3 linked regions of the Arabidopsis thaliana genome follow. The protein of the gene in region 2 interacts with the protein of the main gene of each other region in a pairwise test. Each region holds a gene or a part of one and is shown on either strand. Other genes may lie near its edges.

Region 1 (6,487 bases), on a different chromosome or scaffold from region 2:
CACGCGACGGAGCTCTCCGAGAAAGAGACCGCGGCAACTCCGCCGTTCCACTCGAACTAGCTTCCATATCCACCGTGAATCGAAACTATAATTACTACTACCACCCTCTCCTCCTCCACAAAAACCCAATAATTTATTCGTGAAATCAAAAATCTCACTGAAATCAAAGTAATCGATTAACATATTTGTTAATTGATCTCCTTTTATACCAACTTTATAGAGAACGCAAAAGAAAAGAGATTGATAAAGATGGCTAAAGGGTTTTCTTCGAGAGACTTGTTAATTCTATATACATATATTTCTGCTTTTTTACGTCTAAGCTTTTTCATCTTTTGATCTTTCTTATCTTTTTGGCTCTCGCTTTTTGCTTTTTTCTCTGGGCATAGTACGAAGCTCTCTCTAAATTCTTTTGCTTAGCGAGGAAGGTGACAGTGGAGAAGAAAGACGAAAAGAGAAGACCACAAATATCCAAAAAGTTCTCAAACGGTTTTTTTAAGGATTTTTTTTTTCATATCAGATCCGTCAATTTTAGGATAACATCCAACAAACGATACCGTTTCGGGGTCTCAAATTTTTAATGTGAAAAAAAATGGCGCTAAAAGTTTAACAAAATCGCGCTAACAAATTTTCGAAAGAGGAAGCAATACGACATCGTATAATGCCCGTGCTATCTTTCGAAAACGGTGGCGTTTAATCTCAAACGTAATATGCCATCTTTAAAACCAGAATGATGCGTCGTCGTATATGTAAATGATAACAAAGCAGCTTAAACGACGCTGTTTAGAAAGGAAGACAAAATTATATCTTCCTTGGAACACATTTTATATCCATCCACAAGTCCCCCCAACACATGATGCTAAACTATAAATTGCAATCAAAAGTTAATATTTACAGACAGCTTTCTCAGATTCAAACCTCCATTTCTATCTTATAAACAAATTTTTGTATTCCAAGGCGACTCAGAGAGAAGAAAACGAGCTTGTTTCCACTTTCATTCACTCCACCACAACACACCACATTGGGCCTAAGAACCATTCTGCAATCCCACGAGGCTTTTTCCCGGTAACTACAAAAGAAGATTGGCGGATGTTTGCTTCAGGTCAATGATTATGATGATTGTTTGGTTCATATAGGACTTGCTTTAGACACCTGCGCCGTCGTTTCCGAACCAAAAACTGTTAAGTGACCTCCCTAAACAATCTATGGTCGATAAAAAGGAAACTCTGAAATAACCTCAGAAGTCACTAATAGAATGAAAACTTCTTTCTCATTTGAGGATTTTTCGTAGTGTTTCAACTATGTATTCATGTTCAGACCGCAATTCGTTCAAACCTTTCTCGAATGCTCTCAACATTGCGTTTATCTTAAAAGTGAGCATACGGTTTGAGTTTTTCTTATCTAAATAGAGTTAGTTAGCTATAAATATTGTGGTTTGCTTCGGTTTATATTCCCACCCCTAGTTTATCTGATGCATGCATTTACAGCTTACTATAAAACTCCTTGTATGTGTCAGACATGACTTCCTAATTTAGATGTTCATCAAGAGAATTGTATACCTGATTTTTCGACACTGTGGCGGAGGCCCAGTCTTGTTGAGGACCTTGAGGTTGCCTTGGAACAGTTTCATAGTTGACATAAGTAATCCTTCTGGTGTCTTCTTGCCTACTCACAATGTTTTGAGGGGGTAACTCCCGCAAAACCCATAAAACGAAAGCCAATGGGACGGTGGAACCTTTAAAAAGCGTTCTTATCAGTAACCCTGCATTTGAAGGTCTTCAAAACAACAAAACGAAAGAAAAAAATCTTCACCTATGAAATAGTATATGATCAGAAGAACCAATGCTTTGATGCCGTGTAATTTGCTTGGGTTCCAATGATAAAAGAGCTGAGATCAAAGATTGGTTTTGGTTAAATGTATCGACGAATGTTAGGTTTCGGTTTACAGACATACTTTTTTGAGTGATAATGACTTACTGGAATGTGTGTGAGAAGAGCGATTAAAGAGCTAACAGTGAAGCAAACAACTGAGACTCCTGCTAGACCCGATACCTATAAATGGTTAAAATGTACTTTCAGGGTAAGGATTCGACTGACATGTGCAAAGAAAGAAAAGCTTGTTGAGCCAAAGAATCATTAGTTACCTTTCGCATCTCTGATGAAACTTGTTCAGACCGCACCTTTCTTAGATTAAAGAGCAGACGCAGGCCTAAAGAACATAAAAGAGTTTGTGAATATACGCTGTTCAATCATAGCAATAAGCCAGTAAACCACTGACCAAAACATCTCACGAATTGCTAGAAGAAAAATATGAATAGCTGAAACCAGAAAAGAACTTAAGAAATCACTTACCATAGAAGCAGATTCCTCCTCCAGTGATTAGGATTATTGCAGCAAAAATATCGACATACACCTATATAAGGAAGTGAGTTTATCATAAAACCAGAAAAAATATAGACAAAAGTCTTCTATTTCTCGAGCTTAAGAACTTAGTGAAAGAGGAAATATCAATGTGCAGAGGAATACCACATACCTCAGCCAATAATGAAGAATTCATAGGATTCTTTCCGGAAGCGATCCAGATAAGGATTGCAAATGATATCATTAAGATGAACACAAGAATAATTGCCTAGCAAAAAAGATAAACATTTTTATAAAGATCATAGAAATGACTTGGCTAGAGGTTAATGCACAAAACTGAAAGTATCCCATACCGCAACAACAAACTTCTGCCGGGTTCCAACATGAATACCATGGAAAGAGCAACACTTTCTACGATCACTTGCATTCGAAGAACCTGGCTTGCTCTTGCTTTTTTCAAGCAACACTTGTTGGATGCTATTTTCTTCATCATCATCATCATCCTCCTCTCCATTTCCCTGATGGCAAACATCTACCCTATAACATGAAGAAGCATCATTGTCTTATCTCAGATCATTATTAAGATAAAATAATCAGGGACAACACAATATGATCAGAGTATTGAGAATATACATACCAGAAAGAGAGAAGCAGGAGAAAAGTTGCCAGAAACAGAATTTTGGGAAAGGCTGCAAGTACAATTTGATTCATCAGGGAATTAACTATAAGACAAATCAATGAAAAACATACACAAACCTTCACAAAGGAATGAAATATTTACCCATGAGTAGAAAACCTAATGCGTTGGACCAATGATGCCACCTTGTGCAAGTCGCTATAACCGCAGCCACGAAATAAATAACAGAACCTGCCAATATATACGAATAGAGACCTTACTCACTGGCTAAAACTTCCCCCAATTATAATTGTTCCTGAACAACAAATGACTGAGGATTTACCAGTGTTTGAAGAAGCAATCATAAGATGAAGTACCTGCAATTTTCATGATGGATGTGTCAGATACACGCCATGAAAAGTAACAATAACTGTAACCATATAACAATAACATAGAGCCTAAATTGGTTGGGATGAGAAGAAATACTTTTTGCCGAGTCCATCCAACTTGTTTATTCCGCCTGTGAAATCGAGATAACTGAAAGAAGTAGGCAGCCAAGATAAATCTTATAAGCCAAACCCCACAAAAAAAGAAGAGAATAAGACTTTTTTTTTATTACTTCACCGTCTAAAACTACATAGGAACCTTTGAAAAGAACATCTTAATCTACACACATAGCACTTAAAAAAGAAAAAAAGATTCTACTTTCTAATGCTAATAATTCATATCATATTCAGATTCCCTGAATCCAAATCTCTCATTCTACACAAACACACTTCAGCTCCGTGAGTTATTCATAGAGTTGACCTTTAAACTTAATGGTCAACCACATGAACAACAGACACACAACTCTAAAGACTGAAATCAACCAATTCATTAAATTCAACATCAAGAATCAATAATCTCACATCTCGTTTAATCAATAAGCACAATGCTTCACCTGTCCGAACAGGCCTTAACGGTCACACACAATCTAGCATTCACAAATCAAGACTGATTTTTTCTTTTTCTTTCAGGAAATCAGAAGAACCAAGAATCAGAACCTGAAGGAATGCGATGAAAGCAAGAGCGGCATCGATAAAAGCCAAACAGAGATTGACGGCGATGAAGCTAGGAGCATAGCATTTATCCTTGGTTGATTCGAAAAGAGTCGCTAAGATCTTCATCGTGAATCCGCTCTTTTCTTCTCGATCCTCCCCAAGAGATCGAATGCCTAGATTTTAGGTTTGTAAGAGAGAGAGGATCAAAGAACACCACCGAGACAGATGGTTGTAGGAGATGGGTTGGGTCTGGTCTGAGAGACAAAAATAAAAATTATTTTTTATATTTATATATTTCCTGGACAACACAATATACTATCTACTAAATTTAATTGCTACAAGTGGTACGGCACACTAGAATATACAACAATTACTGCCATAAATTAATTAATTAATTACTCTTGGCTTAAAAGAATTATTAAGTAATCAATATCTCTTTAACTAAAATTAATTATTAATTATTGTTAGAAGATGTAAAATGAGGGTTTTTTGTAAAAATCAGAACTAAACGAGTTATTTTTGCAAAACAGAGACACCTCTTTTCTGCAACTCTCTTCTCCGACCATGCTCAGGTACATAATCCGATTTCTTTTGTATAGTTTGTGTTCTGCAATAGACTCAAGCTTCTTTAGTTTCCAATTTCTCTAGATTTTCTGCATTTCTTTCAAATTGGATCAACAAAGACGATGATTTGACAACTCCTTTGCCTTAAAACCTTACCAAAGTGAGTCCTAAACTCACAAACAATTCAGGGATTACTAATCAAACTTTGACAATTCCAGTGACTACAAATTTACTTGTCATTGATGGTAGACTATAGAGTTTGAGAAAATGCATGTAGCAAGCAAAATTAAATCACTTTGTATTCAGAAATGAATTTGAATAAGTACATTAGTTTGGTATGATCTTTGTTCTACAGCAAATACATTACATGTTTGAAGGAATATCCTAAAGAATGAAAAAATCTAAAGGGAAAAAAATGAATCTGTTCTTATTGTGTGTTCAGTTGCTTTGATGGACTTAAAAATCGACAAGAAAGATTATATATCTGCACACTTTGTAGGTGCATACCCGAGCCTAGACCTCTTTGTATCATAGAGTATATGAAAATTCTGCTGCTGGTAGTTTCCAATGATTGAAAATGCTGATTTGGGAGTTCCTAGCATTGCCAAGCAAACCAAATCCTCATTCAACCATATGAAAGAATTCTCTGTCGGGAAGTTCCAAACAGCGCCATCTGCAAAAGCAATCCCAAGCTCTGGCAGCTGAACGTTATGAATGCCAGAGACGTTGAAGCAAGGATCTAGGATTGGAAAATCTCTATAGACCGGATACTTCCCTTTAGCTTTCTCAGCAATCTTGTTCTTGATGAATTCATATGCAGGTTCTGCGAAGTAACTTAAGGTTGTACCTGAATCAATGATCGTCCCTCCAGCTCCATCTGATGAGATATTCCATGTTTCTTCAGGTATGTTTAGAACTTCTCCCGCGACTAGAATGGATTTGATTTGTACGTAGTAAAATGTGTCGACGAGGTTTTCTTTCCCAGCGACAAAAGAAGTGAAGTTCAGATTCGGGTGACTTAACAAATCCTTGTCTTCTCCGAAAATCAGTTTGCTACTAACGTTGGTATCGCTGTTTCTGTCGACAAGGCAATAAGAGAAGGAATGACCATAAAGAGACTGAAGCTGAGAGGAAAACGAAAGCGGGCCTCTTCCTAAACCAAGCAAGCCTGCAGCACCATGGAAGAGACCTCGGTTCCAATGACCGCAACCGAACATCATATTTTCAACATTATACAACTCCGAGCTCCCTCCATTTGTCGTGAGGTTAACCGTGAAAGTCTCTACTGCAAAATCTCCGGTAGTGTTGGAGCTATCCCCATACCAGTAGTAGTAAGGGCATGATTGGTTATCTGATTTGCAGGGCATTGGAGGGTCAGGTGATGAGACTAGGTTGCATCTTTGGTCATTGCAAGTTATGTTCTTGTAAGAAGCAGAGGCTTTAGGGTCATAAAACGCACCGTTTTGCTGGAAACAGTCGTAGCAAGGCAAGCATTGAATCCAGTTTAAGTCACTCCCTGTATCAAGAATCAAGGAGAAGTGTTTTGGTGGCGAACCAACCAACACGTCCATGAAGTACTCGCCAGAACCGAGAGTCATACCAGACTCAAGTGTTGCCACCAATTGACCAGCCTGCTCCTCCACGGAAGAAGCCACCGGAGTAGTGGTAACAACTTCTTTATCATTCTTCTTCTGCTTCTGCGAAACAGTGTTTTGGTTGTTCTTCTCCAAAACTCTTTTGTGAAGCGTCTGAATTCTTGTGAGATCTCGGATTTGAAGCTCAAGAACTGAATTTGTTGTTGCCTTCTCTGTAGTCGTAGTCTCCCGGCGCTTTAAGTGAAACTTCACCGTCTTGTTTTCTCCGGTCCGTTCCTTGGTGGGTTCTTTCTCAGGGGAAGAGAAGCCGCAAT
Region 2 (4,442 bases):
TTAAAGTTTTAACCTCTGATAAAGATTCCGCAATATTCTGGGGATTCGACTTATTAAACAAAGTCTCAAAATAAGACACCGCTATATGTTGGACATCTTTATCCTCTGCAAACCATTTTCCATTTTCATCATGAAGTCCTATGATCCGATTCCTAGCCCGTCTCTGTTTTGTTAGAGCATGGAAATATTTTGAGTTATTATCCCCAACCTTCATCCATAAACTCCTACTTTTCTGGTACCAATATTGTTCTTCATCTATATAAGCCTCCTTCAACCGTATTGTTAAATCCGTTATCTCCTCACTTGTTCTCGAATCATCTCTCTGTGCCGCATCTATGAACTCATTTTTAATATGAACTATGAACTCATCTTTTATTGCAGTAGGGAAAACTGATCTATCCTCGTGTGCTATTGATATGGATTATTTTTGTAGTGGATCACTAACCAAGTCCTACCAGCTCTAACCTGCTGTATGCAGTCTGACGCTTGTTCAAGTAGAGTCACTATGTGTCTATGCTAGTCCCATCGACAGGCCTACTCTGACGCGCCTAGAGGGAACGAGCGGCTGGCTTTGGATCTAAAGAGCATAGGGAAATGTTTGAATCTACAGGTCAGCTTCATCTTCTCTTGTTTTCTCTGTTTCAGTTCTTGTTCAAGGATAAAAACAGAGAAACGTTGGATAAAACTTCAAGGAACTTAAAGAGATATAGACGTGACGTAGATGGAGAAATATGAGCTGTTGAAAGTGATTTTTCCATAGTATTACATAACATTTTCACACATTTATAGTGGAAATCAGAGAACTAATCACTGCTCTGTTCATAACTACATATTTTCAACCTACGCTCTCTTATCGTGTTTAAAACCAGTCTTAATGTGTGTCGCTATTTTCGTGTTCGTGGTTGAAGCCAAGAGATAACAAACCAGTAATCGAAAAATCAACATAGTTATAATACAAATGTGCAGTAGCAATGCATCACTTTTATTTCATACGAAAGATAAAAACTTTATTATGATGCAAAGAGTTAGAAACTGAAATCAATCAAGCAGAAGCTACAAGACCACCATGCTTCATCAGCTTCTCATTGATCTCATCTTTCGCAGCACCGACAACACGATCAATGATGTTGCCTTCTTTCATGAAAACAAAAGTAGGCATTGCCTCAACTTTGAATTCCTGAGCAACAGCTTGCAATTCATCAACATCGATCTTGAAGAAGACAACATTAGTGAACTTCTTAGCCATCTCTGCAAACACTGGTGCAATGAAACGGCAAGGTGGACACCATGATGCTGTGAAGTCTATCACAATCTGGTTTCAATCAAAATTTCAGAACAAATCAGAACACAAACATCATTCACCACTAAACTAACTAATCAAGAAAACCCTAAACCATAACGTAATCAAATCAAATTGAAAAAAAGCCCTGGACATAACAAGAGAAAGTAAAGTTTCTATAATTTCAGACCATATCAGGATACAATTATCATTCACCACTAAGGTAGCTAATCAAGACGAACCGTAATCCCTAAGTAAAGTAATCAAATCAAATTGAACAAAACCCTAGACAGGACAAGAGAAAGTTCTAGCTTCTATCAATTTGGGACCACCAGAGCAAGATATGGGACAAGAACGGGATCAAAAGCAACCGTTTCTCGAACATCATTCACCATTAAGCTAACTAACCAAGAAAGCCCTAAACCCTAAGTAACGTAACCAACTCAAATTAAAAAACAAAAAAAACCCTAGACAGGACGAGAAAATACCAGTTTCTATCAAATTTCAGACCAAATCAAGACATGGTACATGAACATGATAAAAACCAAGGTTTTGTATCTAACATGAATTACCAGTTTACCACTAGATCAAGAAAACTGAAAACCCTAAGTAAAGTAATCAAATCAAATAGAAGAAGAAACCCTAGAGAGGAGAAGAAGAGAAAAGTACCAGTTTCTTGGATTCATTGGCGTCTTTGACCTTCTCGTTCCAAACTTCGAGGGTATGGCAAGCAATCACTTCTCCTTCACCGGCCATTTTTATTATTTGTTCTTAAGCTTTTAAGAGTTTTGTTTGATTGATGAGTTTTTTTTGGTGAATGAAAGAATTATTCTTGTTGGGATCAGCTTTTATAGGCAAGACTTGACCACCTATACCTCTACCTCTTCTCGGTCTTTTTTTTTAATTATTTTCCTAAAATGAGTTCGATCTTGACGCGTAGGAGTGTGAAGGGATCCAACGGTTTATATTAAACGATTAAAGAATAGGCATGAGTCTAGGTCAACGGCGTGATGATGGTAACGAGTAACGACAGTTCTAGATGTAGAAGACACGCATGTTTTGTGTGCACGATATATGAGTTTATCCGTTCTTTTCTCGTCCTTGCAGATATAAAAAAGTAACGTTTGTTTTTGTCGGCACGAATATAAGTTTTTTTCTATGTGATAATTTGTGGACTATTCCGAGCTTTTAGACGTGCAAAGTTGAATGGAAACTTTATCTAAGACAATAAGAAAAATATTATCTATAATATGCTAGATTTATGTTTTGAATAATAATGCAAGCTGTTTTTGATCAATCTTCTTTATTCCTCTAATAAATCAAATTCTAGTAATGTTCTTTCACTAATGATAGAACCGAGAGCTGGCTGTATGTGTGTTTACGCTTTGACACTAATTTTATTCTCAAACGACGTCGTTTTAGACTGATTAACAGTCACTAACGGATAATAACGGGTTTCTAGGTTCTATTAATTACTGATAAAAACATGTCTATTTTGGTCAGGTCAACGAATTGTTCATATCTTAAATGGTAGTCAACGTTTAGTTCATGTTTTAAATGGCCAAGTTGATGTTTAAAATGACCACAATTTAAAACTTGACTAATAAAGTCGTTAACAGATGATAACAGACGTTAGAAGTTCCGTTAATAACTGATAACATCATGTCTATTTTGGCCTGGTCGACGAATGATCATGTTTTAAAAGTTAGTCAACGTTTAGTTCATGTTTTAAACGACCGCATACGAAGTTGACGAATAAAATGGCCATTTTTTGAAAGTTGGGGATTAAATAACATTTTTTCCTAATTTTTAGTCAGTGTAGGTTTTATATCCTTTTTTGTTGGATGATTATGTCTTGTGCCCTTCCATTCATACGTGACTATGATGAATGATATCAACCTAGCACCACATAAAATGAGCTTTTTCAGATACAGTATTTCCCAACAAATTAAAGAATCAGAAGTACAAAGCAAATCTATCTATTTTATTATTTTCATACTAATTAACCTTTTTCACTGGTAATCTAGACATTGTTAGAGTTTTCTTGTTATGTTCTTTTATTATTAACTTAGGGCTAACCGAGAGTGTTTATAGATACTAAACGATCTGGTTACTCAAGATGGTCTACATGTGTTGTACACTTCTCCTCGCAATACATCGATCGGTCTATGTTCCAAAGTGTAGCGCTCCGGCCCCGTGTACACCCCTGTCTTCTCCAATAGCCCCATCGCTTCCTCTCTTCCGTATTTTGACTCATACAGCTTCAAGTACTCATAATCCTGATTCATTCTCCAAATAAGCCAACTGGAACAGTTTTTCGTTGTTATCTGATTGGTAAAACTATAAAGTTGACGTACCTGTAAGCCACTAAGAAGGCGCTCTAGCCTAAGTGAAGCAACTGGCTCTGAAGAAGATGAGAAAACTTCACCGGGGTAGTAAAGAACTCCATCACCAGGAGGAAGACCGCGCCTAAACTTTACCTATTCATTTGGTTATATAATATCATGAAGCAATCGATCAAGAAACATTTACAACAGAACTAAGGATAAGAAAATAACCTCGGCGCTTGGAACCGTTGCCTTCTCATAGCAATTTGCACCCCAGTACAAGAACCCGGTTCCACCTTCTTTCCACACACGCCACATCACTGCCCGTTGCTGTGTACCACGCATCCCCAGATGCCAATTTGGGTGAGGATCTGAAGGTCCAAGGCATATGTATGTCCACCATTCCTGCACCAGCAAGAAAAGTCCTCTTTATGATTCTTGTTGCTAAAATGCTAACACATACAGGACCACTAATGAGCACATCATTAAGATGACCTTGAATCAAATTTAACCATTCCATAACTACAGTACTTTGATCGACATATGATGATTCCATTACTACCAAAGCTAGATGTATTCATGTACACGTGCAAACGTTTTCAAAGCTTATGATAACTAATTAACTATATTGACCAAACTCTAGTCTTTATTTCTATTCAGTTAAGTATACTTCAGGTGTATGGACCAGACGATTTCAAACCTCATTGAGAATAACATAGACTTGGGTCAATGGATAATATTCTCTAAAGAAGAAGTAAAAGGGTTGATGGAGATCTGAGAGACCCTACCTCACCATTCTCTGTCTGCAATTCGTCAAGAATATCCTTCACCAAATC
Region 3 (4,358 bases), on a different chromosome or scaffold from region 2:
CATAATAGGAGTACAAACTAATAGGTAAAATTAACAAATTTAAATGTATAAATGGCCTTTGGGGTTGTTTAAGTAATGATTAAGATGGTATTATTGGTGGACTTTTGGGGAAGATAAAGATAAGATATGCCTTCTTCATCACGCCCTGGCTTGGTCTAAACACGATTAACGCGTTGTCAAGATTTAAGTGGAACTTGGTATCTTATTTTAATAATTCGAAAATTTTATTATTTTAAACTTATGTACTTACGTTCATTTTTTTTCTTCTTATTAAGATCCTAACCAGAAATAGCTCAACCACCCCACATTTTTGCTTATAGTTTTTAACTTCAAGAGATTCGGATTTAAAAAAAAAAAAAATTGTCGTACTGTCCCACGTAAAGATTCAATTTTGTGTGTGACAGATGTAAGTTATACACAATGATTTTCTTCAACTAACTAGATTGAGTTTGTTGGCATGTTTTACTATATATGGTCTCGATTTAAGATGATATAACAAAACAAGATAATTAGTTCAGATAATGTTAAACGTTCAATATCTGCATTTTGAGTTAAGATAATCTCAATATCTGCATTTTGATGTCTACTTTTATTTATAATTTTAGCCAAACTTGCCACACTGGGAAAAACGTTATCAGTTTTGGCACTTTCTTTCTTCTGTTTTCTTGATCTCATTTATACAAAAATGGAGAAGTTCTTATGATCACGTAACCAAAATTTATAATTTAATTCAAACTCTAGATTCTGGATAAGACTAAATCTGTGTAACTTGGGTTACTGATATAGGTTGAATGCACATGGATCTTCCTCATATAAAGACTATATAATATACTTAAATCGTTGACATAGAATCTCATAGAACTTTTCAAAGGGGAAAAGAATCTTAGTGATCCTCCAATTAATAATTCAATTATACTTTGCTCATATTGATCGGTTTAGCCATCATGGCTTTTCAGAGACTTCAATTTTGGATGACAACTTGTTGATCCGAAAGGCAGCAATGCAGAGAGTGATATTACCAAACACCGTTAGTGCTGCCTGAAGAGCGACCAACACCTGATAATGCAGTCCAACAATTACACCATTAAGTAGGAGTGAAGAAGCAAACGAAACATATCACAGACTTATAGCTAAAAGTTGGAGTCAAGAGTTTCTTGACCTCAAGAGATTCATCGTTGTAGAAGAAATGCCATGTGCATGCACAGAGAGCTCCACCAAGCAAAGGTACCTGATTAAGAACAACCAAAAAGCTCAGAAAAATGAAATCATGTAATCTAGGAAAACGGCTTAGAGCTTTCTCACCATTCCCCATGAGAGACCTTTCCAAGACTCATAACCCTTTCTTTCTCCATACTTCCATACCAATGCCATCGCCGTAATCCTTTAGTAAAAACAACACCAGAATTAGAAAGACATTACATTTTTCTTGTTTGTTAGCTCCAACTGCATTTCAAACCATAATGAGAGAAGCTTAATCTACATTGTGAGTGAAAGATCGAGACTTTATATGTAGATGAAGCTTCTCTCATAATGATATCAAAAACTCGAAAAACCCACAACATCAAATACTCTCTTGTGTCACTATAGATCAAATGTCAAATGTTTTCTAAGTGAGAATTTCAATCAATAAAGCAAAGGAAGAAGAAGAGAACCATTCGACAACGCTGGAAACATGAACGGCCCAAGTGGGTAAAGACAACGCATTGGACGGTTCGCTTAGCTGAAGAGAATCCACCACCGCCGCCAAAGCAGTAGCATCTGGTCCCGCCGTGATGAAAGCAGCCGCAACCAAACTGGTTCCGATAAGACCCGACAGCGCAACCGGGTCATGAATTAAACTGCGGCTTCGGATCCGAATTACAGGTTCGTTAGAGGTGGTGAGAGAAGAAGCTGGACGGCTCTCAGAATGAATTCGCCGGAAATTGGGTTTGGCGCAGCAGAAAAGAACGGTGGCTGTTGAAGCAATCGCCATGGCTGAGATTTTTCTCCAATTTCCAATTCCCAAGTTCTGGTTTAATTTTAAACCGGTTTGCTGTTGAACCGTCTTTTATCATTTTCACAAACAAAATTAAACTAATCGGTTTATTAACAAATTCTGGTTTTTCTAATTACTTCCCATCTTTGAAGTTGAAGAGAAAAATATAAAGACAAAATGGAGATTAGTACATTAAAAATCTCAAATTCTGTATTGAATTATTTATATTACAAGAAGAATTTTCCAATTATTTGTAGTACATATATATATGTATAATCAAAATGTGGAGTGAAACAAAATCAAAATGTTAAAATGTGTTACTCTTTTCCTTAGACCAGATCAAAACGAGAGTGAACCCCATCAATGACATTACCACCGTCTGCAAAACAAAACAAAAATCTCTATAATCATCATCAATAAAAGATTATGCTATGTCAAAAGGATATGAGACTTACAGATATAGCAGGAGGAATCCCCACAAGAGGATCTTGAAAGAACTTAGTAGCAAGCGCTAGAGCCAAAAGGCTACTCTGCATTCCTGATATATTCACAAACACATTTCTCTTCTCAAATCTTTAAACCAAATTGTACTTTCTTGATAAGATTTTCCAATACCATAAAGAGTTAGTACCAGTTTCATAGGACAATGTTCTTTGCATGGCTTTAGCGTCTGGAGCGTTTCTAAAGACAGAACCGGTAAGGAAGTATCCAGCGAGGAAAGCTGAGAGATGAAACATTGTTACTAGTAACAATATGGTGGCTCCAAATGGAGACATGACCGAGTTTATGTTCAATGCGAGTGGTGCTCCAACGCAGCAAGCTGTGTCGAGAACCGATAGAATCGGGAGAAATGGTCGGATTGCATTTGATACTTTTGGGAACAACCTGTAAAAGAAGAAACAAAAAGGAGATAAAAATGGTTATACTTAGAGAAACAACTTGTGGTTATTTCTAGTTGTAGGCTTGTAGCTATATCTCTCACTTGTTTAGTAGCAATCCTGCAGCGATTGGTGCGATTACAACCTGAAGAATGCTGGATATCATTCCTTTTACATCAACGGGTAGTTTCTTCCCAATGAGCAGGAGTGATAGCATCGGTGTGACAAGAACCGCAGTAGCGGTTGATAGAGATGTCATGACGATGCTAAGAGGTGCCAATGCTGGATCAGTTAGGAATGTCGCATAGTTTGACAACTGAGCTCCACTAACACATGATACCAACATGATTCCAGCACCTGAGAGATTGAGAAAGATTGGTTAATGTGAGAGATAGGTTAAGAGTCTTGAATGATGAGAGACAGGGAGCTTTTACCAATTGGAGTTGGGAGTTGGAAAAGAGAAACAGCAGCTAGGCCAAAGATGAAACCTAGGACAGGCTTTACGAGATATTGTCCAACATAACCGAGGAGGATAGCTTTTGGTCTTTTGAAAGCTTCAAGAAAGTCTTTCTCGTTTGAATTGATACCAACCGCAAACATCAAAAAACCTAAAGCGGGCACAAAGTACCTAAAATAACAGGAGAGTAAAGAAGAGCTTTTTAGCAAACCTCATGTCTACAATTCAAAGTCTTAGATCAATTTGACCTTGTTCCAATGGGAAGAACCTCGACGTAAACCAAGTGAAAGAAGGAGGATAGATAAGAGCTAATATTGTACTCGCCAACACTACATGAGGAAGAATTGAGTTTGCTTTCTTCATTCTATCCACTATAGAAGGCTTCTCAATAACCTGCAAGCCACTTACTAGATTCATGTTGGTTCTCGGAAGTAACATAAAATTCTTAACAACTGAAATCATCAGCAAACGAAGAACAAAGTAGCAAAACTGTGATCCAGGGATGATTTTTAGCTAATCAGATTCAAAAGTAGGATAATTAACAAGTCTTCAATAGTGCAAAATCACATTTTGACATTAAAGATGACACATTTTGAGAAGACTATTCAAACCCAACATAACATAGAATGGAAAAGGAAAGATCCCATAGCGCACACCTTGAATGGATCAGCTCCAGGATCCAAACCCATCTCCGAGAAATTATCAGATGCATATCTACGCCACAAATTCCTCGATCCGCCAACTGTGTATATAGTAGGTTGAAGAAAACCATGAGAGAAGAAAGTGTAAATTTTGCAGGTACCCAACAAGCATAAACGCCTGAGGATCGATGAGAGTAAGATGAACAAACCTTGAGAGATTGGGTCGATGCGAAGTGGAGAACTCAGAGAAGTGTTCGAGAAGATGTTGGGCGGGAAAACTTGAATCCGTTGACTGCGATAAACAGCTCGTGGTAGAAGACGAAGTGTTGACTTTAGGTGCAGGGTCTCTATTGGAGTTGTGATCACGCTCATTTTTTTTCTTTGGACTTTGTGATCTTTCAGATTCT

What was found. The genes of interacting proteins can lie anywhere in the genome.
Region 1: the proteins of TRX5 (region 2) and Cand3 interact in a protein complementation assay, tested with the Arabidopsis thaliana proteins (one large-scale study listed by BioGRID).
Region 3: the proteins of TRX5 (region 2) and AT4G22830 interact in a protein complementation assay, tested with the Arabidopsis thaliana proteins (one large-scale study listed by BioGRID).

What each region holds. Positions count from the first base shown.
Region 1 is NC_003074.8:21,836,987-21,843,473, reverse strand, and holds Cand3 (tobamovirus multiplication protein), read right to left. Parts: upstream 4,290-6,487; 5' UTR 4,141-4,289; coding exon 4,018-4,140; intron 3,540-4,017; coding exon of another isoform or gene 3,512-3,539; coding exon 3,461-3,511; exon of another isoform or gene 3,352-3,460; coding exon 3,318-3,351; intron 3,227-3,317; coding exon 3,140-3,226; intron 3,048-3,139; coding exon 2,996-3,047; intron 2,896-2,995; coding exon 2,712-2,895; intron 2,627-2,711; coding exon 2,531-2,626; intron 2,411-2,530; coding exon 2,350-2,410; intron 2,207-2,349; coding exon 2,142-2,206; intron 2,050-2,141; coding exon 1,975-2,049; intron 1,886-1,974; coding exon 1,810-1,885; intron 1,733-1,809; coding exon 1,557-1,732; intron 1,150-1,556; coding exon of another isoform or gene 1,126-1,149; exon of another isoform or gene 1,067-1,125; coding exon 1,025-1,066; 3' UTR 711-1,024; downstream 1-710. Other genes in the region: GSL11 (glucan synthase-like 11), read right to left, coding at 1-67; AT3G59080 (Eukaryotic aspartyl protease family protein), read right to left, coding at 5,055-6,487.
Region 2 is NC_003070.9:17,074,222-17,078,663, forward strand, and holds TRX5 (thioredoxin H-type 5), read right to left. Parts: upstream 2,197-4,442; 5' UTR 2,036-2,196; coding exon 1,949-2,035; intron 1,313-1,948; coding exon 1,043-1,312; 3' UTR 721-1,042; downstream 1-720. Other genes in the region: AT1G45150 (alpha-1,6-mannosyl-glycoprotein 2-beta-N-acetylglucosaminyltransferase), read right to left, coding at 3,394-3,558, 3,637-3,759, 3,838-4,011, 4,395-4,442.
Region 3 is NC_003075.7:11,989,354-11,993,711, forward strand, and holds AT4G22830 (YCF49-like protein), read right to left. Parts: upstream 2,076-4,358; 5' UTR 2,055-2,075; coding exon 1,949-2,054; coding exon of another isoform or gene 1,891-1,948; coding exon 1,653-1,890; intron 1,382-1,652; coding exon 1,303-1,381; intron 1,229-1,302; coding exon 1,160-1,228; intron 1,057-1,159; coding exon 943-1,056; 3' UTR 711-942; downstream 1-710. Other genes in the region: AT4G22840 (Sodium Bile acid symporter family), read right to left, coding at 2,283-2,354, 2,431-2,513, 2,607-2,860, 2,958-3,210, 3,288-3,481, 3,579-3,703, 3,967-4,052, 4,161-4,323.